2 linked regions of the Arabidopsis thaliana genome follow. The protein of the gene in region 1 interacts with the protein of each later gene in a biochemical or structural test. Each region holds a gene or a part of one and is shown on either strand. Other genes may lie near its edges. The genes, in order: nPAP and FIP1.

What was found.
Region 2: the proteins of nPAP (region 1) and FIP1 form a complex in vitro, tested with the Arabidopsis thaliana proteins (one study listed by BioGRID).

What each region holds. Positions count from the first base shown.
Region 1 is NC_003075.7:15,846,420-15,855,907, forward strand, and holds nPAP (nuclear poly(a) polymerase), read left to right. Parts: upstream 1-3,352; 5' UTR 3,353-3,714; coding exon 3,715-3,849; intron 3,850-3,946; coding exon 3,947-4,024; intron 4,025-4,350; coding exon 4,351-4,458; intron 4,459-4,630; coding exon 4,631-4,693; intron 4,694-4,761; coding exon 4,762-4,923; intron 4,924-5,259; coding exon 5,260-5,373; intron 5,374-5,454; coding exon 5,455-5,517; intron 5,518-5,598; coding exon 5,599-5,928; intron 5,929-6,006; coding exon 6,007-6,171; intron 6,172-6,308; coding exon 6,309-7,142; intron 7,143-7,250; coding exon 7,251-7,334; coding exon of another isoform or gene 7,335-7,391; exon of another isoform or gene 7,392-7,472; coding exon of another isoform or gene 7,473-7,487; exon of another isoform or gene 7,488-7,745; coding exon 7,746-7,826; coding exon of another isoform or gene 7,827-7,847; exon of another isoform or gene 7,848-7,898; coding exon of another isoform or gene 7,899-7,932; exon of another isoform or gene 7,933-7,943; coding exon 7,944-8,024; 3' UTR 8,025-8,041; downstream 8,042-9,488. Other genes in the region: PFK6 (phosphofructokinase 6), read right to left, coding at 112-165, 272-430, 674-811, 905-967, 1,071-1,110, 1,194-1,240, 1,782-1,886. UniProt on the Arabidopsis thaliana protein: Essential protein. Polymerase that creates the 3'-poly(A) tail of mRNA's. Also required for the endoribonucleolytic cleavage reaction at some polyadenylation sites.
Region 2 is NC_003070.9:9,848,427-9,856,151, reverse strand, and holds FIP1 (FH interacting protein 1), read left to right. Parts: upstream 1-3,702; 5' UTR 3,703-3,851; coding exon 3,852-4,077; intron 4,078-4,162; coding exon 4,163-4,264; intron 4,265-4,676; coding exon 4,677-4,948; intron 4,949-5,577; coding exon 5,578-5,757; 3' UTR 5,758-5,767; exon of another isoform or gene 5,768-6,019; 3' UTR 6,020-6,308; downstream 6,309-7,725. Other genes in the region: ATJ1 (DNAJ heat shock family protein), read right to left, coding at 72-107, 185-295, 379-417, 504-587, 712-803, 897-938, 1,359-1,416, 1,537-1,554.

The sequences.
Region 1 (9,488 bases):
CGTTCATTTTCATAAGAGCAGAATGTCTTCACAGGAATTTAATTAGACAGTTCTCTTCAAAATATGTTTTAGATAGGTATATCCAACAATAATACACAACATTTCACTAACCTTATATATTGCATTTGCTCCCTTTTGGGTTCCATCACCTCCAATAATGTAAACCTATATCACAGATGCAGCAGACAAAGCAACTGACTCTTATTGGTATAACTATTCTCCATAGAACACAAACAAACTGAAACAACAAAACAAAATTTTTCTTGAATACCTGATTTATTTCACGATCTTGTATGTTGTCGACAATCTTTGATGTATCATGTCCCCCTCGGGAGGTTCCTAGTATGGTTCCCCCGCGCTTGTGGATGTCACTCACAGTCTTCGGCGTTAGTGCAACAGTGTTTTTAGAATAGAACCCGCGAAACCCGCACTGCGATATCAGAAACCAGATGAGTCAAAACAAATCCTACTCAATCAATAATGGCTAACATAGTATTTGCTTTCCATTGTAATTTGCTATTAAAACTGACATTGCTCTATTATGCTCTACTACAATATGCAATAGCAGCTATAGAACAAAGCATTCAGTCTACAAGTTGGGATACAATGAGATCATCATCCCTAGAAAATACAGTCTAAAAGCATAAATCGTAGGTACAAAAATTGAACTCACATCCACACCAATCACTTCTGTAACACCATACATAAAATGAAGACCACACACGATCTCCCTGATAACTGTATTAAGCCCGGGGCATAGGCCACCACAAGTGACAATACAGGCACGCACATCAGATGGCTTGAAGTACACCTAAACACAATATATAATCATATATCAGCAGTTTTTACATCATCAAATACAGAAGCTGCAGAGCAAAGGAAACTCATGGAGTAGATGAAGTACCTTTTGGCGCGGGCCTGCACGTCTAAAATGTGTCCCTCTAGGAGAATCCTTGTGAACAACAATCTATACATCACACGAAAGGGAAAATGAGCAATGTGCTAAACATATCACATGATCACTTACGAAGAGAACAAATGTAAGAAAGGAAAGCGTCAGTGAGTTTCACCTTTTCCTGGACTGTATCATCCTCATCAACAAAATACTGCCTGAAAATCACACAGAATATGAACCCTATTAACTAACCGTCATCTTTCAATCAATCAAGTTCATAAGTACAACATCAACTTACCTTACTACTGAATAAGCAGCATTTGATTGCAACGGGTTTGGATAAGTCTGTTAGAGAAGGTATCAGCAAAAGTGAATAAAGTATAAAATGAAACGAAGCTATAGCATGATTTGAAATATGAACCAAAAAGCTTTTTTTTTTCTCCATGGCAAGACTAATTTACAATCCAATTCTTCCATTACTCTACATGTATAAGAACCTCATTACATTAGCATCAAATTTAGAAAATAGTAAGTGATTAATAGATCTAATCAAACATTCGGTGACGAGTAAGCATATGTGCACCAATCAATTTCCACGTTGACATTGATTTAACATTTCACATTTGTATGCACTAATACGAATATAAATATTTATGTAATTCTCTCCCTGATAGAGACCAGGATCTCATCAACAGTCCGAATCAACATATAGGCTAAAAATAGGCGAAACCAATTATACAAACACAACTTTTGCATTTGCTATACACGAACCACCAAATCGGCAACAATATCAAATTCGTAAATCGTATAACCACCGATCCATGAAAATGTCGATTTCAAAGAATAATCGATGGAATCGTATAGAGATAGAGAGAGGAAGTAGTACGGGGAGATCGAGAATGTAATCGCTCAAATGAGGAACATCTTCGAGTACATAACCAGCAGGTCCTTCCACCAACTTAATCTGCTCGTCCACGCCATTAGAAGCCATCGAAGAAAACCTTATTCTTCTGAGTGTTTTTCTCTCCGGTGACGTAAAGCGACTGTGAATTTGAAGCGTATGTATGTATGTGAGTTTTAATTCTCAGAGCTCAGAGTGGTATAGAAGTAAGGAACGAGAAAGCGACGTCGTTTTGGCTCACCGTTACTTTATGATATACGGACATTACCGAAATACCAGCGTAAACGGCGGCTGGTTTTTCCTTTTGTCAATTTCCGGTTTTCAGATAATTGATTCGTGGATAAATGCAGAAGTATGGATAAAATCTCATTAATTATCTTTATTATACCTTTAAAGAAAATGACAAAAATTAAACGATAAGAATATCTTAATATTTACGAAATATATTCTTAGTAATTTCTCTATTTGGTGTCAAAAATATATAGGCAATTTTTCTATTCTTTAATTTCTTAAGATTTTTTTTTTTTAAAATCATTTTTTCTTAGTATATGGTATTGTTCATGACAAAGAGAGAAATATCATATCCTGTTGAGAAATAGCATTTATAAAAACTGATTTGTTTTGTAAAAATAATAATGTCAAGCTAATGTATAGATCGAATAGTTATTTTAGCTTAAAAATCAAATTTCTGAGAGGAGAAAATTTATCTTACAAATCTTTATAACGCTTAAGTATAAAAAAAAGATCTTAATACACAATTGTCCGAAAAAATCATTTTTAAACTATCAAATTATCGGTTTAAACTTTTTATTTGATTAACAAATCAATCTAAACTTTACAAATCTTCATGAATCAATTTAGGATTTAAATATCAAACAAGTGGATTCTAAAATAATAAAGTTTCCTCTCCAATTAGGAGTATAATGAATTACATATTTGGAAAGAAAAGATTCGAGTATTAATAAATTTTAGATGAATTTGATAAGTTTTAGACAGTTAGGAAAGTTGTTACTATTTGTTATTAAAAATATTTGCAATCTCCCTCACTAAAAAAAAATAATATTTGCAATCTCACAAAACCATGAGAATTGGGTCTTTGTAATTTTTAATCAAGGAAATCCATTATTACATCACTAATTGAAATTCATGTTTGTATATACAGCCTAAACTTTTGTATATACAGCCTAAACTTTTGTATCTTTTATTTAAAAACACTTTAATATGTTAAAATCCAATATAGTATCAAAATTATATCAAAATCTAATAAACAACACACCAGTTTTCAACTTTATCAATTAAAATTAACAGATGGTGATTTTAAATCAGTTGGTTTCCATCGACACATGATTTCTAGTTACCAATAATCCCACTAACCCCATTAAAATCTTTAAATTAAAAATCTGAACAAAATTATCTAATTTAGATTTGTTTTCAAAATGATTACAATGTTTTCTTGTTTTGAACGGAGACTTATCGGCTCCCTCCGTAAAATAATCATACACATTAATCCACTAATCAAAATTTAATTATAAAATCGAATCGCCGTGTACCTAATATCTTCCCCAACCTTTGCTCTCTCTCTCTCTCCATCTCCCTCATACCTCCTTCTTCTTCTTGATCCATCATCTCTCTCTCTTTCTCTCTTCTCTCTGTTCCTAGTCCATCGATTTAACCTCTTTCAGATTCTCCTTCTTCTTTGACTTTTTTTGACACCGTAGTCTCTTTCCCCTTCCATCGATTTAGGGTTTCCGATTTTCAAAATCTCCTTTTTATTTGTTTCCTCTCCTTGTGCAATTCCCGTCTCGAATCCATCTTGACCTGGGGGTCTGATCCGATCTCCCTCTAATCATATCGTGAAGCGAGATTATGTTTTTGTGCTGCGCTTCTGCTTTGATCGCTTAGGATTATCAATCGTGTTATGATGGTGGGTACTCAAAATTTAGGTGGTTCGTTGCCGCCGCTGAATTCTCCTAAAAGCTATGGAATTACGAAGCCGCTCTCTCTTGCTGGGCCTTCTTCGGCGGATATTAAGCGTAATGTGGAGCTGGAGAAGGTAAAGCTTTGTTTTTTTGTTTATACAAAAATTGTTCCACTGTTTAAAGGATTCGTTGATTTGGCTTATCTGATGTGTATTTTCTTATATGCTCAAGTACTTGGTTGATGAGGGACTCTACGAGAGCAAGGATGATACCATGCGGCGAGAGGAAGTTCTAGGACGCATCGATCAGGTGACTCAGCGTGTCTCGTTGATTGTTTGTTCTGTATATTTACAAGTGTTATCTTTTGATGGTTGTGCTAATTGGGTGTCTGAATCGACAAGAATAAAATTATTGTGTTTATAATGGTCTTTTAGGTTTCATTGTATTGGTTCTTACTCGTGTATGGTTGTTGATTTTGGGCTAAGCATAGATCATAGTTCAATATGAAATAGACTGGTCAGGCATATGTTCTTATGTCCATTGATTTACTTTGCTGTTTTTAAGTTTCTTCACATGCTGTTCATTGTGCTATTTGTCTGAAACTATCAATCTTATCTCCCACCTTTTTTTTTTAGATTGTAAAGCACTGGGTGAAACAGTTAACGCAGCAAAGAGGATATACTGATCAGATGGTGGAAGATGCAAATGCTGTCATTTTCACCTTTGGATCCTACCGACTTGGCGTAAGTGCTACTTGTTTACCGCTTCCTTGCTTTTATCTTGAAGCTAAAATGCGTATAATATGTTTTTTGCTATATGTTTGTGGATTACTCGAGAGATCGCTCTGTTTTTGTCTATGCAAATGCAATCTTAGTCTCTGAGGCTGAACCGACTTCAATTTTGTTCACTTTGCAGGTGCATGGTCCTGGGGCTGACATTGATACTTTGTGTGTTGGGCCATCTTATGTTAACCGGGAGGTGACTCTTGCTACCACTTATTGATGCAGAAGTTTGATTCTTTAGTTCTTAACACTTACTCTTTACAGGAGGATTTCTTCATCATCTTGCATGATATATTGGCTGAGATGGAAGAAGTGACTGAGCTCCATCCTGTTCCCGATGCCCATGTTCCGGTCATGAAATTTAAGTTTCAAGGAATACCGATTGATCTGCTCTATGCTAGCATATCACTTTTAGTTGTGCCACAGGTAATTTTCTGTGAATTTATTGTATCTTTCTTTGTTTTTGCTGAAGCTGTAGGGTCTGATAAATTTATATTAGCTTGTATATATTATGCTATATGTTGTGCTTGTTTGCATGTTGATGGAGACAGATAGTGTATTACTCATCCTCAATGGCTTATATAGTAAACAAATTTATTTTAGTAGTTTCTGGCTTGAGAGAGAGATCTGAAAAGTTTGCTGGCTATTTTGGTGCATCGGTTTTGATTTTTATATGAAAACTGAGCCCGTGAGCTGTCATGGTAGATTACAATCTCTTGCTGAATCAAATTTCTTGTTTTCATGGATTTGGTTTATCGACAGGATCTGGATATCTCCAGCTCTTCTGTGCTGTGTGAAGTTGATGAGCCAACCGTTCGAAGTCTTAATGGTTGTAGAGTTGCTGATCAGATTCTTAAACTCGTTCCAAATTTTGAGGTAAACTCACAGAATGCCAGTCATTATGTTAACATATGAATGAACTATGGTTACCTTCTCTTATCTTATGTGCAATTGTAGCACTTCCGGACAACCTTAAGATGCCTGAAGTACTGGGCTAAGAAGCGTGGGGTGTATTCAAATGTAAGATCATAGCTTTCTGAAATTCGTATTTATTGAAAACTTTCATGTCTAAGCTCTTGTCATATTTCTCATATTGGGCAGGTGACTGGATTTCTTGGCGGTGTAAACTGGGCACTTTTGGTTGCTCGTGTCTGCCAGCTTTATCCAAATGCAATTCCTAGTATGCTGGTTTCTCGTTTTTTTAGAGTATATACTCAATGGCGGTGGCCGAACCCAGTCATGCTTTGTGCAATAGAAGAGGATGAGCTTGGATTTCCTGTCTGGGACCGTCGTAAGAATCATCGCGACCGCTATCACCTTATGCCAATAATAACTCCAGCTTACCCATGCATGAATTCTAGTTACAATGTCTCTCAAAGCACTCTTCGCGTTATGACAGAGCAGTTCCAGTTTGGTAACAATATCTTGCAGGTAAGTGAGCAAAACTTTTGACTTGTTATCTCAACTATTTATTCAGGATCCTATACTTATGCATGATTTTTAATGCAGGAGATTGAATTAAATAAACAGCACTGGAGCTCTTTATTTGAACAATATATGTTTTTCGAGGCATACAAAAACTACCTTCAGGTTGATATAGTGGCAGCAGATGCAGAAGATTTATTGGCTTGGAAGGGTTGGGTGGAGTCGCGGTTCAGACAGCTGACCTTAAAGGTTGATAGCCTCCTCTTTTCATTTGATTTACAGTAATAAACCTGCTGTATATCAGTGTTTAATCATATTTGTTGTGGTAGAAAATATAAAATTATTAAATGTTTCTCGATTTTGTTTCTTTTCATTCAATAATGCAGATAGAAAGAGACACTAATGGGATGTTAATGTGCCATCCCCAACCAAATGAGTATGTAGACACGGCTAGGCAGTTTCTGCATTGTGCCTTTTTCATGGGCTTGCAGAGGGCAGAGGGAGTTGGGGGTCAAGAATGTCAACAGTTTGATATACGTGGTACTGTCGATGAGTTCAGACAAGAAGTAAACATGTATATGTTTTGGAAACCTGGGATGGATGTTTTCGTTTCTCATGTTCGTAGACGACAGCTTCCACCTTTTGTTTTCCCTAATGGATATCGAAGGCCTCGGCAGTCCAGGCACCAAAATCTACCGGGTGGAAAATCTGGTGAAGATGGCAGTGTTTCTCATTCCGGCTCTGTGGTGGAGAGGCATGCCAAGCGAAAGAACGATAGTGAAATGATGGATGTGAGGCCAGAGAAACCTGAGAAGCGTGCATCTCTTAGTCCACAGAGTCTAGATATAGTTTCTCCTGAAAATAGTGCTATCACAACTGGTTGGACTCCTCCTGTTTGCAACCTTAGAAGGCCACCAAGCGAGGAAATAGAAGCTGATAATTTGAACACTGAGTGTACTGAACTCACAGACTTAGCTCGAAATGAGTGTAACTCTGGCAGCGAGCAAGTTCTTGAAGTAGATAGTATGGCTGTAGTTCAAGAATGCTCTGATCCTGCTGAGCCTTTGGGAAAGTGTGTAACACCTGACTCTGTTGATGTGGTAGCATGTGTAAGTGGGCAGGAAGAAAACTTAGATCGTAATTTGAGGTCTGTATCCATCAGTGGTACTGACTCCCCACTTCTTCCGAGCAGATCCTGTGGGCAGAACCGTGATTATGAGGTTAGTTTTTTTTTTCTTTTTGTATATGTTTGGGGGTTCTGGTGTGTTATCAGAAATTGGCAATAATTGTTTGAACATACCGGGCATAGTAATGATGAGTTTTTACAGGGTTTCGGGTTTCCTGCTGCAAATTCAGATCCTATGGGAAAGAAAAACTTGTACTCTCAAAGCGGCATGTCGGAAGACCTTCAGGTTATTAAGCTACCTCACAGTAGTTATCATAAGATTAGTTCTGTTGAAAATATTTAATAGCTGGTTTAAAAATGAATGTCCAATGATATGCGAGCATCAATTCTCCACACTACATGGAATCTCATACTGGTTTCATAGTGTCAAGAAACATAGGATGGAGCTAAGTTTGAAATTTGATGGTTGTCCATAAACAGTACTACTTAAGAGGTCAATGTTTCTGCTGTGTTATAACTTGCCTTGTGTGATTTCTGCTGCATACCGCCTAACTAGTGCATATATATGATTGGCAGGTCCTGCACTGCAAAGCAACTCCGCTTGAAACTTATTGAATTAGACTTTTCTCTCTTTGATTAAGTTTTGTAAGGAATAAAACTAACTTATGTTGTTGCTCGTAATCTTGTCTTGTCTTAGTCAAACTCTTTGGTGAGCGGGATGGAGAAGTCGGAAGACAGAGCTAGGTCAGAATCTTTCCAGAAGTCACAGATAAGGCATGTGTGTTATGCAAAGTCATGATTTCTTTATGTTATTCTTGTTGTGTATTTGGTTTCATTGGTGCTTTTATAGCACAAGCAGGTTAAGCTTAAAGTCCACTGTGTGAACGTCCTCTAGGCTATTGACGTGAAGAAAACGGGGGATTTCAACTCAAATTGTTGCGTTGGACAGACGACAGAGTCCAGAAGCTTTTGGTAAGTGAATTTTTAATATGGAAAAAAGAAAAAAGAAAAAAAAAAGTTAAAAAATGACATTTGAAAAATTCAAAAAAAAAAAAAAGAATTAAGTTAAAAAAAAAAAGGTAACCAAAAGAGAAAAGAAGGTATAGGCAGAGAAAGCATTGGTGGTGGTATTTTGAGTGAGCTTGGATGATGACCAAAGCTCAATATGCGTCATCAGGATCATAACTTGAAGATTGAAATGATTTATATAATGTCTGGATGATGAATGCTTTTTTTTTTTTATTATTCGGCTGTTTCAGACTCTGGTCCTCTTAGGGCTTTGACTTGAATCGTTTGTGTTTTTTTAATTTTATTTTGCGGTTTATGTATATAAGATCTATGCCTCCTTGTCTCTCGTTTTTGGAGTTATGCTGTCAAAACTAAGTGAGAGTAGTTGCAATGAAAGGCTTTAAAATAAAGGTTTCTGATCTATATCAAAGTCAAAACACTGTTTCTTTTTTTCTTATGATGTAATATGATGGAAAATCTATAGAGGAATTGGAATAATTGGTGGTTGAACCGGGAAAGACAGATTCTCAAATTTAAATGTGTCGGATCTGCTAGTTCCAAATACAAGTTCAAAGCGTCACTTAAAATATAGAGGACCATGAATAAGTACAAGAGCTCTGTATTTGAAAACATGAATGGTTGGAATTCCTACCGAGACCAAACACTTTTTGTGGAGATATGTCTTGTTTGGTTGAATTATCTTTAATACAGCATGCCAAAGGTTTGAAGAGTAAGATGAAACAGTAGCCCTTTCAATGTTTTCAATATATATTGACTGAGTCGAAAATATGGGATTTTAACTTCTCGGGGCCAACAGATAAGAAATTTCTCGGTAGTGACCGATAGCACTACTAATATCTACCTTTTTAAGCATGGAAACCTTTTCAACTATCAAGAAAAAAACAACTTTAAAATTTTGATAGCCTAGTGGTTTGTATGTATGAAATAGTGATATTTGATAGCCTGATGGTTTGTATTAATATCGTCATTCTGTCACCTCCGGCGTTGAAACTAGTATAATGCATGTCCACAAAAGAAAAATAGAACTGAGCTGAGGCAAAAAAGAAAGAAAAAAAAAAATAGAATTTTAGGAAAGCGTCATTCTGAGCAAAACAACTAAATGAAAATCTAATTTTTTCGTTGGATTTTCCCAACATTTAGGACTGCAAATACTCTTTACACAGACGTAAGGTAAGTAACTAAGAAACAAAAAAAATTCTAAACTCATTCTTAAATAATCGCATTAGCGTCTCTATTTTGTTTGATCTAGATTATTTTTCTCTTTCTGTCTTCTCTTTTATATACAAGGGATACTGATAAGACAAAATCTAGACTTTTTAAGTTCCAGGCCTCTAGATTTTTAGTGGGATTTGGTGGAGAAATGCTATAATTCGTCGTATTTGCCTACAAATTTGGAGAAAGTTTTACGGAA
Region 2 (7,725 bases), on another chromosome or scaffold:
ACACAACAAGATTTATATAAGTCAACCAGATTCCAGTTGTATAAATAAAAGAGAGAATCAGAGAAACTGACCCGAATATCAGGTTTTATCTGATTGTTCTCAAATATCTGAATAAAGTTTACTAATGTTAGAGATTTAACTAATCACATAAAAAGATGAGCAAAAGGGAAACATAATAATGTACCTCAGAAAAAATCTTGTGGAAAGTATCCGAGAAATTGGACTGGTATGCACGTCTGAACCTCTCTGAATCACCACCGTCATTATTTACATAATCCGAATTCCGATACTGCAGCTGGATCGAGTGATAACATCAAGAAATATATTTAGTGATCTCGCCACCAGATAAATAAGAATAAAAACAACAAAAAAGCGTACCTTATCATATTCTTCTCTTCTTTCCGAATTTCCCAGGGTCTACAGTTTTTTAATCCAACACAAAAGTATATCAGAAGATACATTCAAAATACACAGATGATGGCAGATGGAAAAGAAAAAACTACCTCATATGCCTCTCTTATTTCCTGGAACTTCCTTTTTGCTGACGGATTATTTCTATTTGTATCAGGGTGGAATTTTTTCGCAAGCTGCAACAATTGTGCATTCACTCATCAATTTTGAGCAGACAACTTTTACTAATAGTTTTTGCTTGATGTAAAAAAATGTTTAAAGCTGAAGAACAGTCCACTAACAATGAGCCGAAAGACTCACCTCATGAAATGATTTTTTAATCTCCTCCCGTGTAGCTTTAGGAGAAACACCGAGAACATCATAGTAATTACGAGCACTGGAGTTGTTTATACCTGAGAACCATTATCCAAAACCAAAAGCATTTAATGAATAAAATGATACAAAACATCATTTTATTCATTAGCGTGAATGCAAAAAAACAAGACCTGTAGCGTGAATGTATCGCTCGAACAACGGCTTCTGAGACCCTGCAAAGAGTCAAAACTTCCAAGTAATGAATGCATATTTCCTATAGTCTGTAGATAAACACAAACATCAACTGGAAATTCCCTCATGCCCCTAATGTTAGCTACCACGGAGACCTCGAGATTACATTTCGATTCTTTAAAATCAACTCTTGAGTTACCTTTAATAGTGCCCAATACTTTGATACCCCTTCCTGATAAACCCTAAAACCCCATTTCAGCTAAAATTATCACTACATTAGAAATTCTAATAAACCCCAAAAAACTTGACATTGTCGTTGGTCTGTTGCATATACACCTAAATCAGCTCAGAGAAGGCGATAAACCTCGAAGAGCATATGAATGTCAGTTTTTGATTCCTTTTTGAAACAAGCAAAAATTGACGAAATCAATAACCCTAGTTTAACAACTTTTATACATTACCTTGACGCAATCCGATCGCGGAATCAAAAGTTCTTCGAGCTTGTACATGCCGCAGAACCTACGATATAAACATAAATTACAAAATGATTTCAGCTCTCTCGAGGACTCAATTTCAAAATTGAAAGGAAGAAGAAGAAAACGATGAAGCTAAATCTAGAGAGGGATGAAGAAAACAAACCCAGTTGAATCTTCGCATGACTCTTGTGAATTCAAAGCTAAACAGAGAGGAAAAAACGGAGAGGTTTTTGATTTTGAGAGTTAAACCCTTAGACCATTTCCATGATAAATTCCAAACAAACATAAATCAAAAATATTAAAATAATAATTTTTTAATCAGTTTTTTTTAGAATATTTTCTGAAATGAGAAACTTGGAGAAATTTTATCTCTCTTCCAAATGTCATCTTGTCATTAATTTCTTTTCTTTGTTATAAATAAAATCATTTATATTTTATAACATCAATTAAATACTTTATATGTTTATTTTTTTTTTTTTTTTTACTTTTAAAATTCATAAAATTAAATTATCTATATAACAAGCTCTATTATATATATGTTTAAATTATATACGAATATTATTTAATTGGTGTTAGTTAAGCATTAAACATAATAATAACTTATAAATACAATAGTTTTTTTTTAATTAGAAAACAAACATTTAAAATTTTCTATTTTTATTTTACAACATTTTTGGCAATCGAATTCGACTTCGTGATAGAGATATGCACCAACAACTAAAAGATGACCTAGTTGAGCATATATGACAAAAGTTTGGTGCATTATCAAATGAAGAGTAAAACCATAATAGATAATATAGTTAGTTTTGATTTATGTTATCATGGTTTTATATGTAATTTCTGTGTAATTTATATATTTTTTCTATTTAATTTATGTTATCATGGTTTTATATGGAATTTTATGTTTAATTGATATATTTTTTATTATGATTTTATATGTAAAGTAATGTTTAATTATGTTTAATTATGTTTAATTATGGTTTTAAAAATAATAAAACTATTTAATAATATAATTGTAAAAATAATAATTGATATGTTTGAAAATATTGTAGAGATTTTAAATTTAATATAAAAAACATATAATAATATGTTAATGTTAATGAGATACTCATAAGAGTATTTCACCAATGGAAGCACAATTTTAGTATAAGTTTCTCTACTTAAATTAAAATATTAATAATATATTATGAGGTACTCATGGAGTATCTCACCAATGGAGATGCTCTTACGCATATGCTGACGAGAGACGAGAGAAGAGACGTTCGCTAAATCTTTTGCTTTCTCGCCACTACGTCCAGAGTCTCTCTCTGGTTCAGAAGACTCGAAATGGGTTAAACACGTATTCTCTCATTCTCCGTAGTTAATTAATTTAGTGAAACGGTAAAAACAAAATGGTAAAAAATTGGCGGTCGTTATTTTGTAGCGGTAAAGAAAATAGTGAGTTAGACTATTTACAAGTTAACTGTTTGAATTAAAAGTTGAAAGTGATTTGGAAAAAGATGTTGTAGAATTTCTTCAACACCGTTAATTTTGTGAATAAAATCCTTGTACACATATAGTCTTAGAAAATTTGGAAAAAGGTTTGATAAATGTAACTTAGATGCTGCTTGGATTATAAAAAGTAAGCTTTATGGATACGGACTTGAGTTCCCAAGATCATTTAGGTTCAATCTGATTTTGAGGTTTATATAAGAAGCTTCATTTAAACCGTTGAGTGTTTGAGCTATATGAAACTTCAAAAAAATGTCATTCGTTTAAATACCATCAAGAAGAATGTGAATCAACTTTTCTTTTTGGATGAAAACTAGTTTTTTGATATGGTAACTATGTTTTCAACACAACAAAATTTTATCGTCGAATGTCCGAAATGATAAAGACACTCTTAACCTTCATCGGAAAAAATAGCAATTTTTTGTGGTATATCAATAGCGGTTACAATCTAACTTGTTTTGTTGTTGTTATTATGATTAGAACTGTCAATTGGGTGGACCGCATGTGGGTTTTTACAGTCCAAATACACACGGACGGATTATGGTCTGGACTCCAAACTAAAAAACATAAACCAAGCAATCAAAAAGTTAGAATAAGATATTTTTTAGTTAAAACAAAAATCGTAAGTGAAGAAGGTCTGAATTTCTTGAGGAAGATAAACGGGCACAAAACCGGTGTACATACATGGATTATGGATATGTTCTAGAGGAAAGGTATAATTGAATACTAGTATCCGTTACAGAAACTAATTGCATTAAGTTTCGTCTACTGTTTAAGACCGCACGAGATATATATGTTAGACCGACTTTGGGAAAGAGGCTACTTAAATTATTTACGATTAATAATGCCAACGTAACGCGGACAGACATTTTAATTCAATTATTATTTGTTGCCTGCGAGATTCGAACCATCTCTTATTTCATTACTTAACCCAAACCAAAAAAATAAAAAGTTCATTTCGAAAGAAGAAGAAGAAAACATCAAATCATGAGTGGGCAAGAGAATCATGATCATGGCCGGATCTCTTCTACGCCCGCCGCCGCGTCGGAGCCTTCCAAGGCTGCTGCTCACTCCTCTGACTACGCTCCTTACCCTAAGCTCGATCCTACCGACGTCACTCCTCCTCCTCCTCAGCCTATTCCCACCGGTGCCGCCGCAACCACCATGCCAGCGGAATCCAATCCTTACGTTTCTCCTTCCCCTGCCCCAAGGAGTGAGTTCTTCTTCTCTCTATCCGATTTCGCATCCTAATCCAATTTCTGCCTTTGATTGATTGATTGATCTTGGTTTGGGGACAGATACGATGGATTCGGTGAAGGATACGTTAGGGAAATGGGGGAAAATGGCTGCCGACGCCACCAAGAAGGCGGAGGATCTCGCCGGAAATTTTTGGCAGCACTGTAAGCGCTTCTTCTTCTTCTTCTTCTTCCCCCTCGATTAGATGAATTACCAATTAATCTGATTACCGTCTCTTGGAGAATACGATGGTATTGGTTATGCCCCTTCTGGTTAAGTTAGTGTTCATCAATTGGCGCTTCTTCGGAATTTTACTTCGCGTTCAACCACCGACACTAAATCTAGCCAACAATTTTGATATTCATGCTCTTCCGTTTGAGTTTAAGCCAATTAGTTCTTTGTATCTGGTTATTGCCTTTGACTCTTGAAGCTTCTCTAGTATAGGTTGTTTTGGCTTTATTTCTCCGCTTGTGTGATGAATTAGTATTATATACATATGGTTGGAGGGAGGGATGATATTTTATATGAATTGAGACTTGAGAGTATACGTTTTGATATCTATCCTTTCTTTTTCAGTGAAAACAGGCCCAAGTGTAGCAGATGCTGCTGTTTCACGAATTGCTCAGGGGACAAAAATACTTGCAGAGGGTGGATACGAGAAGGTCTTCAAGCAAACATTTGATTGCCTTCCTGATGAAAAACTTCTCAAGACCTATGCTTGCTACTTGTCTACATCTGCTGGTCCTGTCCTGGGAGTTATGTATCTTTCGACTCACAAGCTTGCGTTCTCTAGTGACAATCCTCTCTCTTACAAAGAGGGTGAGCAGACCCTGTGGAGCTATTACAAGGTATACTCGCTCTCTATCCTATGGTTACTTTTTCTTTCTAACTCTTTTATTTTATATCTATTTACATCTAAGAAAACTATTTGAGAACAAAGATTCAGCGAATGTAATATTTGATGGTGACATGATAAAGCGTTAAGTGAGTTAAGTCATTTTCAATGCATCTATTTACATAGATTCATAGACTATAACAAATTTTCTTGTCATTTCTAGTTATTGACGTATAGAACGTAGTGTGTGTACGCTTATAGTAAATGGAAACTACATAATCATTCTAACGATATTGTTGAGTAGTTGCATGTTAGTTCCTATGTAGACAATTAGGACTTTAGTGGTTTGCCTAAGAGAGTAAGCTAAATCTTGTAGCATTCTTGATAAAACTAGGGGAGCCATTGAATAATTGTTAGTTTGAGAGTTTGGACTGGTTCTAATGTAAACATCTAACATGAGCTGAAATCCTATTAAACCAAGCAGAAAGCTTCTTGACAACATGATCTTTGGAAAACTGATTTTAAGATTTGGGTGGTTCTTGAGAACCTTTTTTCGTTCCTTGAGAACCTTGCACTTGCAGTCTATTTTCTGTCATTCTTCCTTGTAAAGTCTGTGGCTGATGATTTTGATGTGATGATCAGGTGGTACTTCCGGCGAATCAGCTGAAGGCAGTGAACCCATCAACAAGTAGAGTGAACACATCTGATAAATACATACAAGTGATTTCCATCGACAACCACGAGTTCTGGTTTATGGGGTTTGTGACTTATGAAAGCGCTGTGAAGAGCCTTCAAGAAGCGGTGCAGTCACATGGTCCGTGAAGGTCCACTGGTATAAATGGCAGCTCTTAGTGATATTGTGCATTAATATATGGAACAGTGTGTTTTAGTATTTGATACCATTTCAATGTGTTCTACATTTTGTCCTCTTGGCGTTTACTCATAAACATTGCTTTTGTTCATTTCCTTTTGTATAAAATTATTTCTTATTTTTTTTGAGGGAACCTTGTCCTTTAGATCTAACATTCATGATTTGTATTCGTGTTCTAAGTTGGATTCGGTCTTTGGTTTTTGATGAGTTTAGGATTTTAAAGGTGATCAAGTTGGGCGCTATAGACAAAACCAGCATTTAGAAAGCCCAATATATCACCGATGGGCCTTTGAAAAGAGCCCAAATCGATAATAAGCATGCATGGGAGAATTGGTGACACGGGCTCATTACAACACTTTCATCATAGAAGATCCTATGTTTAATGTGTTTAAAACAAATCTGGTATGAGTTTTGGAAGATAGTAACATTGAGTATATATGTGGAAACAAATCTAAATGGTGGGGTTTGTGCAATCGCCTAAATTGTTTTTTACTTGCATTCGTTATATGCAAATATCTAAATGATTAAAACCAAAACCAAAAATATCTAATATGATATATTAAAATATTAAGCTTCATTGTATCATTCTTACGAAGTGACCAACTTTAGAAGTTAGCGAATTGTCTGTCATTAAGCCTATTGCTCCTTGTCGTCTTATTCTTTGCTCACCAACGAGCTACGTCCTTTGAATTTCTTATTAAAGTTGTTAGCATATAAACTATGACTAGTGCCCATCAAATTTGAAGATTTAGCATTTGGACTCTTCTTGTGTTAACTGAACATGGTCAGTCTTACAATATCTATATATTCAATGGTTATCGAGTGATTGTGTCATGAAATGTTAATATAGTTGGATCTTTTAAAAAAAAATGTAAATATAGTTGAACCATATACATCCGTTGAAAACAACAACAGCAAAAACTGATAGCTCTGAACCATCTTTGTAAGAGTGTGTTTGCGACTACGGGAGTCTTGATATCAAACCGAAACCACCCTATATATGAAAAAGCTTCATAAAACCGATTTCTCGATTACTTTAATAAGATGGCATATCGGGTGTTAAATGTGTTTGTGCTACACAAAACAAAGATAATGCGAAGTTTCACACACAAAACCAAAGCCGTAAACGCACAGAAGAAGCTACTTCTCGTGAGCATGAGTTCTCTTCAGACGTTTTACCTCCCCACAATCCATAAGCTACATAAAACCGATCTCCGGTTTCCAGATTAATTTACCATTAGTATTTTACAAAAGTTTGTAAGTAAAAGAAAAATAAGGCAATCATGCAAAATCGAAAAAAAAAAAAGATGGCGAAAAGGAAAAGAAAGTAAGGCGGGAGTGGCAATTCAAAACCAAAATAAAGTAATGAAGAAGCGAGTCAAAGTAAGGCAACATAATTACGTACACTATTTGATGAGTCAAACCTACATCTTTCTATGACCAAATTTGAGAGGTGGCTACTTCTCTTAGGCTTTGCAACTTGAAAAATATGTTCCGCATCTAATCTAATAATAGGATGTTGTCATGTTCATATGTTTCGTTGAAAAATATTAATTCTAATTAAAACTCGTGTTAACATCAGGATTGGATTTTTATGTTCATAGTGATAATTAAATATCTCCAAGATTAGTGTAACAACAACAAAAAAAAGAATAATACTTATATCATAATCTCAGGATGATCATGATTGCTCAACTAAGTAGGGATTGGGTCAATCACTGGTTAAAAGAGAAGAAAAAGGTGAAATGATTATTCTAGAGTTTTCATTAAAGTTGAAATACCTTAAAACCAAGATTGAAATGTCTAAAAAGAACACTCGATACTTCCTTTTAATTCCACCGGTCTAAGTCTTCTTTCATTTTATATATTTGTATAACCTAATGCCGTCACGCACGTTAAACATAGTCAAATTCTTTATT